Yarrowia lipolytica: one gene and its partner. Each later gene encodes a partner of the first gene's protein in a complex. Links are inferred from orthologs where the notes say so. Each region holds a gene or a part of one and is shown in the gene's direction. Other genes may lie near its edges.

Evidence for each region.
Region 2: YALI1_A05473g (region 1) and YALI1_C31848g share a complex: the UniProt entries of both Saccharomyces cerevisiae proteins name them as parts of the ISW2 complex. The link is inferred for Yarrowia lipolytica from reciprocal best matches to the Saccharomyces cerevisiae genes DPB4 and ITC1.

What each region holds. Positions count from the first base shown.
Region 1 is NC_090770.1:545,196-548,397, forward strand, and holds YALI1_A05473g (uncharacterized protein), read left to right. Parts: upstream 1-2,186; coding exon 2,187-2,678; downstream 2,679-3,202. Other genes in the region: YALI1_A05459g (uncharacterized protein), read right to left, coding at 1-728. UniProt on the Saccharomyces cerevisiae protein: As accessory component of the DNA polymerase epsilon (DNA polymerase II) participates in chromosomal DNA replication.
Region 2 is NC_090772.1:3,183,180-3,188,650, forward strand, and holds YALI1_C31848g (uncharacterized protein), read left to right. Parts: upstream 1-1,664; coding exon 1,665-1,667; intron 1,668-1,786; coding exon 1,787-4,696; downstream 4,697-5,471. Other genes in the region: YALI1_C31888g (uncharacterized protein), read right to left, coding at 5,019-5,471. UniProt on the Saccharomyces cerevisiae protein: Functions as a component of the ISW2 complex, which acts in remodeling the chromatin by catalyzing an ATP-dependent alteration in the structure of nucleosomal DNA.

The sequences.
Region 1 (3,202 bases):
AAGGTGCTGGGCACGTTGTCAAACAGTTTGTCGCCATTGTGGGTGATCTGGGCCACCTGGCCGTGTTTGACGAGCTTCAGTCGGTCCACATTGAGCCCGTTACCCAAACACAGAGACTGGAAGCCCAAACACACTCCCAGAGTAGGCACAATCACGTTCTTGTTGTTAGAGTAGATCTGGGGCACACATCCGACATCGGCGGAGTTCTGAGGACAGCCTGGACCGGGTCCAACAACTACTGCGTCAAACACACTGAGATACTTGTCAACCAACTCAGAAGCCGGCAGCGAGTCGTTGTGAATGGTAATGACCCGGGATCCGGGCACGGCCTTTTCAATCAGCGTGGTGAGGTTGAAGGTGAACGAGTCGTACGAGTCGATGAGCAGAATATTCATTTTCGAGGTCGGTGAACCAATACCGCACGTTTCTGTGTTGTTACAGATTACTAGTGTCAGATTTTGACCAGCAAAGTTAACCTTGCATAACGGTGATCTGGAGCGGGTAGGACGGGGAATATAACTGAAATTAAATACCCAATAATAGGGAAAACGTCGGGGAAAAAAAAAAGAATAAATCATTGAAACGATGGTAAACACAATGAAATACATTGTTAAGTTTCTACACATCTTTTTCGTCATCTTATATGCATTTCTTGAAAACACCAACTTAAGCCTATTGTTCTCGAGAGCGGGAATAGAAGGAAGCCGCAGAAAGCCGAATCCACACATATTTCCGGTAAATCAAAAGAGCAAGCTACAGAAACGTGCTTATTAAGCAGAAATGAAGACGACACATGGCACAAACACCGGCTCCTCGGCCACACTTCACCCGTTACTTGCTATTTGAACACCTTGTCTGATTGGTCATCAAGGGCCACTATCCGTTAACGTGTGGCTTGTCACCAGACTTGCACACTTTGAGGCTATTTTATTTGCTTAAATTGTGAGGAAGGCAAAAAAAAAAAAGAACAAATGAAAACACGAAATCCAGCCTGTGCCGTGCCATGCAATACAAGTAGCAAATAATATGACAAGGGGGACTTGTCTGGAGAGGTTGTTTGGAGGGTGTGGTAGAGGAATTGAGGGTCAATTGGCTTGAATTGATCAACACGTCTTCATGGTATTTGAACTTGAATTCTTTTACAACTACAATATTATACAATACGAGTTGGAGTAAAAACTCGTTTAAAATACAGTGTATATATTCATCCGACTAAATTTCGGATAAACAGGACTACTCAAAATAAGATTTCGGATCCCCCAACAATGCGGTTCAATTTGAGGAGTGGGTGAGGGGGATGTGTTTCAGAGGGCTTAGACTGGGAGCGGATGACACTAGAGTTGAAAAATTGGTCTGTTTCGTGCATTTTTGGGCAAGTTATAGAGATTGTAGTGGAGTGTACTTGTTCAACTATGTACGATAATTAGAAGGTTTTTGAATTTTTGATGGACAATACGAACACTTACGCTGGGTGTTACGTAAGGCTTTTTCAGCAACCAATGGAAAGGGAAAAGGGAGGTGTCCAAGGGAGGTGTCCAGAAATGAGCGTCGTGGGGTATTTGGCAAGTAGTATGAAGAGGTCGGCGATCGTGGTCAGGAGTGGTGCACTTTTTTTTAATCAGTTGATTCGTTTAACAGAATCTAGTGATTATATGATGACTTTTTTGAATGTTTTCGGAAAATCAGAAGAAATCATATCAAGTCACAGAGAAGAAATCAGATCGAGTCACAAAAACACAATCACTGAGTCAAGTATGTACATACGAGTAGATATCTGTGTTTCATCAATGTAGTTTTCGAATCGAAAATATAACATTCAAAGTAGATGTTGATTCAAGTATCGTAAAGTACGTACATACTGTGTATCGGTAGTTGCCTTCACTTCTGGACAAGGGTACAAGTACAATGTGTTATGTAGTGCGGCATTCGTACTCGCACTCGTATCGTACATTGTTCCTGTATTCCTACTGGATACATCATATAACCCGTTTTAATACCGCTTATTTTGTCTCGTGCCAAGGACATCTTTTTTCCCCCATTATTCCCCAATTCCCACAACAATCCTGAAAAAACAAATAAACTCGCCAAAAACAGGCCAATTTAAATTACGTGACGCAACACGATACAGCTGATGCGCCAACATCTCTGTTCGTCCATCAACCACACCTCACACCGTCACTTCCACAATGCCGCCCAAAGGACACAAAAAAACCGCCGACGGCGACTTCCGACCCGTCAACTCGGCCGGTAACACGATACAGGCCAAGCAAAAGTACTCGATCGACGATCTCCTGTACCCCAAATCAACCATCAAGAATCTGGCCAAGGAGACACTGCCAGATGACGCCATCATTTCCAAGGACGCGTTGACGGCCATCCAGCGAGCTGCCACGCTGTTTGTGTCGTACATGGCGAGCCACGGAAACGCGTCGGCCGAGGCTGGAGGCCGAAAGAAGATAACGCCCCAGGACGTTTTCGTGGCCCTTAAGGACGTTGATCTGGCTCAGTTTGTGCCCAGTGTGACCCAGAGTGTCAACGAGTTCGAACAGGAAGTTGCACAAAGGAAGAAGGACAAGGTTGTACGCGCCCAGGACGACCAGGACCATATTTCCAGCTCAGAGTCGGAAACCGAGGCGACAGAGGAAGAGGGCAACAAAAGAATTAGAACTGATGAGTAGAAGACGAGAAGGACAACGTGGCAACAGGACATTTAGATGCCATACTGAAAGATGCGAACATACTCAACACGCAGCTACGTGTGGTCAAGGTCACAAGCAGAAAGCCCTGATTGCAGTCAAAACACACTCTCCACCTGGCGCAAAAGCACAACCGACACATACGTTATCGCACGATAATAACCACTTACATACATGCCGCAACGGCATCAATACATGCACATTTATTTGATACACAGCAAGCCTACTGCCGTGCACTTGGGGCGGGGGTGTCTTAGATGCCCCGTTGTCATTGCCAGAACCCACGATGTAAAAGATCTGGACAGTTGCCCATATTGAATAATGAGCATGTCTTGATTCGCGTCGTACAGCACGACCAGACTATATGTTCTGGTCTCTTTCCGGTGACTCGAGCCTGTTTGTCATCCCAAGAGCGAGCTGACGAGTTCCACCAAATAAGGCAGCTTGTACTTAATGGTAATGGTCAGATCGACAGCTCAAGGCCTTTTGGTAATCTTGGAGCTCGA
Region 2 (5,471 bases), on another chromosome or scaffold:
CGCGGTAATAATCGAGTGTGGAGTATCGTCTGGGTTCTTCTCCTAATGTCACAAGTAAGATGGATAGATATGCAATGCAAGCAAATACAGTTGTTTGGATTGTGTTTTGATACAGCTTCCCAAAGAGGCAATTCGAGGTTGGGGCATGCACATATTTTACCTTATTGCCAAGCAGTAGGGTAACTCAGGTACCGCGGGTCAGCGATGAGCTGCCCGAACCGGGAGGTTGGGAGTTCGATTCCACGGCGCAAATTAAATCTAAATAGAGTGCGAGGGGGGCGGTGAGGGAGATGGGAGGGCAATGTGTGGAACACCCAATTGGAAGAAAGGCAAAACGTGTAGAACTTTTGCTGCCACGTGATCGGCATTTATTCCCAGCCTCATAATGACGTACAGATACTGTACTCGATACGGTGGGAGTTCAAAAGTGCGAGAATAACCTGGTTGAGACACTGGTGTAGGTTCCGGGTACAGTGTACATACTGATAGGAATAATTGTAGAATTACAGTACGAGTACAAGTAGTACTCAAGTACAGTATTGTACATACTCGAACATGCTCCTGCTGCGGTATGGTGATTTTTTTCTACGCTTAATTATGGCTCTACCACGCGTAGCTACAGGCGTGTATGGCTGGGACAGCTACAAGAAGCCCCCAGTACCATATGGTGGTGGTGGCACGAGTACGAACAGGATGTACATGCAAATGCCATGAGAGGTTTGGAATATGGGCTGTGTGGCATGAAACAGCGGTTGGATCAGCATAAACGCATCACATGTCCTTGCGACTTGTATGGTTGGAACCAGTGTGTCTGAAAGCTTCCTACTACATACTGTAGTGTACATACCATACAATTATTAGACACGATGCAAGGGTGTTCACCATACGAGTACAGTTGATAGATGGTGATACTGAAAACACCCAATCCAACACTCCTTCATCCACACAAACAGGCACGTTATCAAATCCAAAACGCCGAGTTAATCATGGACACCAGACTAAGCACTCTTCGTATGGCTTCAGGCCCCAACCCAATCCAACCCTATCTATTCGAGTACTACCAGCAGTACAGTAGTGTCGGAGATAATTCGGAGATAAGAGGGTTGATGACGAGAGGCTCACAAACCACATCGAAATATCCGCTCTAAGACCATCACCACCTTGTCAAACGTCTTCCTATGGGCGTATGTCCGCTCAGTAAGGGGTTGAGATGTTGCCGGCCTGCTGCTGCGAACATTCTTATGCGATGCTCTTATAACGTTTTGATTGATTAGCGCACTGTGTACAACGTTGCAAGTGGCTGTGGTTTAAGTCGGGGGAACGAATGGGTCTATATAAATACAACTGGGGATGGGCCATGCGATTCCTGCTCACTGGCGCGGTCAAAATGAGTACAAAATCGTGCACTTTTGGCCATACTTGGTTCGACCCACAGGTCCGGTGTGGATGAAGCTACATTGTCACATTATGATTAATATTGGCATCAAACCGAAGCTCCTATTATACTTTGAGACTGCGTTTATGCGTGTATATTGTACTTGTATGTAAGTTATATGTAAGTTCAGCAAAGCTCAAACCATGTGCGTGGTAATTTTGGCTCGCTCATCTTGTCCATTTCTCCACCAAATTCACAAATCCCGTCGTTGCGATTTACATGACACGCCATGGTAAGTGACCAGCCTGAAACCAAGAGACACAGACGACGCGAGAGCTGTACATCATCATCTCAAGCGCGTCAGATCGACATTTTAGTCTCAACATCTACAACATCCAGCTACTAACCCAGGTTTTGTTTAAGCGAAAAGCCATTCATTTTGCACCACCTATCTACGTCGAGGAAGATGACGAAGTGTGGTGGATTGATGCCACGGGCGAGTACTTCAACAACTACGACGACTATTTGACCCGCATGGACTTCTACAAGCAGAAAAAGTTCATTTGCGAGGTCACGGGCCACTCGTGTCTCACGCTGTTTGAAGCTCTCAAAAGCGAGCTGCATGGCTCCAAGGAAATCATGGACGCCTTCCCCGAGAACCTAAAGGAACCTGTACTTCGACGCATTCAATTCTCCACAATCAGCAGACTAGATGGACTCGTTGATACTCTCTATGGCGAGTTCAAGAAGGACTTCTTCCCTGGAGAAATCGTAATTGCCATCATCGAAACCGCCACAGGAGCCACCGAAAGGGTCCCTGCCATCATTAGAGAAAAGGCCAAGTTCAACAGCATCACTCTCGACTCCGGAGACGTCCGACCTGCAACCACAAAGTACAGACTGGAGGCAGTCAGTGATCCAAACAAGGTGTACGTTTGCGACGAGACGCAGCTGACACGTGATCGCAAGAACTTCACTAAGGTGACCCTCAAGACCTTCATCAAGTACTCTGCAAAGAAGGAGAACTGGAACGGAGCGCCCTGGCTGGTGCGTCCAGAGTACGCAGAAAAGTATAGAATCGACCAGACAGTGCCCGTTCACCTGACGCAGTACCGAGGAAACCCGTCGCCTGAAGAACTGCGAAAACAGCGTACCCAAGACCGACTCAAGGCCAAACAGGCTCGAGACAATGAGAAAAACGACATTATTTTGCAGCGACAGAAACTGAAGATGGAGAACAAGGAGAAGAACGCTGCCGACGCGCTCATAAGGACATTAGGGGGACTCTCTGGACTCAAGGAAAGAGACATCCAAGTCCCTGTATCTCATCAGAACGGAGGTGGCAATGGAGGAGCAGGATTGGGAGCCAAAACCCTTGCTACTGCTCTGGCATCAGTGGTCACTGAACGACGAAGTCCTCCCCCTAAACAGGTGATTAGGGAAGATCTGGAACACCGTCTTGTGGGTGTGAATCCCAAGCCTGTGTTTCATTTCGACAAGTTATATCCATCTGATCTGACTGAGGTGTCTCTAGAAGTGTGGACGTTTATCAATGTGTACAAGGAGGTTCTTGTTTTGGACTCTTTCACCTACGACGATTTTATTGATGCACTTCGATACGAGGGTGAGAGTGATCTGTTGAACGAGATTCATTGTGCTCTCCTGAGTCAAGTTGTGGGAACCAACAGTGATTCTCTTCTGGTTGAGTACCCTGACGACATCAGTGACGATGAGGAGGAAGAAGACTATGATGAGGAGGAAGAAGAGGAGGAGGAAGAAGTCAAGAAGGAGGAACAGGAGGAAGAGGAAGTCAAGGAGGAAGAGCCGAGGGGTCGAACGCGACGTTCGTCCAGGCAAATCAAAAAGGAGGAGACTGAGGAGGCAGAAGAGGAAGAGGAGCAGGAAGAGGAAGAGGAAGAGGAAGAGGAGCAGGAGCAAAAGAATTCCAAGTCCGTGTCTCCTGGAGCTGAAAACAAGGGTGCTAACTATGCTGTTTTCAAGGGAGTTGACTGGAAGACCCGCCTGCAACGTCGAAACTTCAAGGATGGAGGTTGGCAAGTCATTCTCATTGGTCTTCTTTACAATCTCACCTACTACGAGCCCTGGGAAGACTTTATTAACGGTTGTCTTGATGTTTGGGCTGCTGCCAAAGCCCCTGTATCTCTTGCCTCTGCACGTGACCGGTACTTTGACCTTGATTTTACCCAGAAGGTCAAAATCATCCAGATTCTGTGCAACCTCATCCACCCCACTGATGCAATTCGAGCGTACATCGAAGAGTGCATGGGTCGAGTGACTGAGCTTCGACGAGATAAGGTGGACAAGCAGCGAGAGTACAAGATTGTTTCTGACGACATTCGGGTTCTCGAAAACGAAGTGAAGCGTATTGAGCTTGAGATGGAGGAGAAGAAGATCCCCGAGGACAAGGATGGCTTTGAGAAGAAAGCAGAGGGGAACGGAGACAACGAGGAATCCGAGCCCCCATCCAAAAAGTCAAAGACCGACAATGACGAGCTGCTCAGTACTCTTAGGACTAAGATCCAGGACAGACAGGAAACTCTCAAGGAGATAATTGCGGTCATCAACGCCAAAGACGAGGAGATTCGATTTGCAGATGTGAACCGGCTTCGTCTTCTGGGCAAGGATCGGTTCCACAATCGGTACTGGTGGTTCGAAGGTAATGGTATTGAGGATGCCGGCGGTTCAGAAGAAGAAGAAGGTACCGGATTCACCATGGGCCGTCTCTGGGTCCAAGGTCCGTTTGAAGAGGAAATCAAGTTTTGCCTTACTGGTGACATTCCCCAGTCCAAGCGTGAAGTGGAGGGAGAAGGGTACTTGGAGGACTACACCAAGTGGGGCTACTTGGAGCACCCTAAGGAGTTGGGTGAGTTGATCAAGTGGCTCAACCAGTGGGGTTCTCGAGAACACAAGCTTAAGAAGGAGCTGCTGTCTGTCTTGAAGAAGATCAAGGCTTCAATGGTGTCTCGATTAGAGGATCTCGGCAGGGAAAACGAACTGAGAAAGGAGGATAGAAAGGAAATCAAGGACGACGAGAAGGAGGTGAAGGATGAGAACACAGACGAGGACCACCAGAATGGTGCTTCTAGTGGTGACGGCAAAGACAATGGAGAGACCAAGGAGGATAAGAAGGAGAACGAGAAGAATCAGAAGGAGAACGATGTTGACGGGGACGATGATGATGAATTCGACCGAGTATGCTCTTGGTCAAACGGCTATGCCGTGTCCAAACTGGGCCATTCCCACTACGAGGGCCCGGCCAAGAAACCTGCTCGAAAGGATACTAAAAAGAAGAAGCGATAGTTGGCGAGACGAGATCTGAACTGATGACGGAATCTGAGACTGATGACGGAATCTGAGACTGATGACGATATCTCAGACGCCTCCTGACCTACGTACATGTACCATATAATTTATACATCGATAAATATTCGAATAGACGAAACTTGTAGAGTGTGTGCATATGAGTTTATACAGTAGCTACAGTATGTAGTAAGAAACTACCGCCCCCATATCCAAACACACTATAAAACGTAGACATGACAGTGTATAGCCGCTTTTGAATGGTACAATTCCAGTTCATTTGATAGCACAATGTCTGAGTAATTAATATATAAAACCTTCGTTATTCGTTCTCATCCAACTTGAGACCAAACGTGAAATCATCTTCCATGGGCTCCATGATATCGGAGTCCTCCTCCTTTTTCTCGCCTCCTTCCTCGTCCTCGGCACATCCACACTTGTAATGTTCTCCGACATTGTTGCAGTCGAAAATCTCCTTTCCAAGCCGCTCGTTGACCTGGTTGTGGACGTAACAAGCCCACTGTGATGCAGTGTTTCTAGACGAGACTTGTGGGGGGAACTTTGCCAGCAGCTTCTGAAAGTGCTCAGCACACTCACCACAGGGGTAGACCTGAGAGAAGAGATATATGTAGTTTTTCAGCGTGGTTTGCTCCTGTTTTGTGGGTGTCTCGGGGTACTGGGCCATGATGGTGTGGAACAGTTTCCACGATGCTCTTCCTAGTTCAGCCTTGAGAGTCTCGTTACCCATCTTGGCCATAATGGAGGGTCCGCCAAT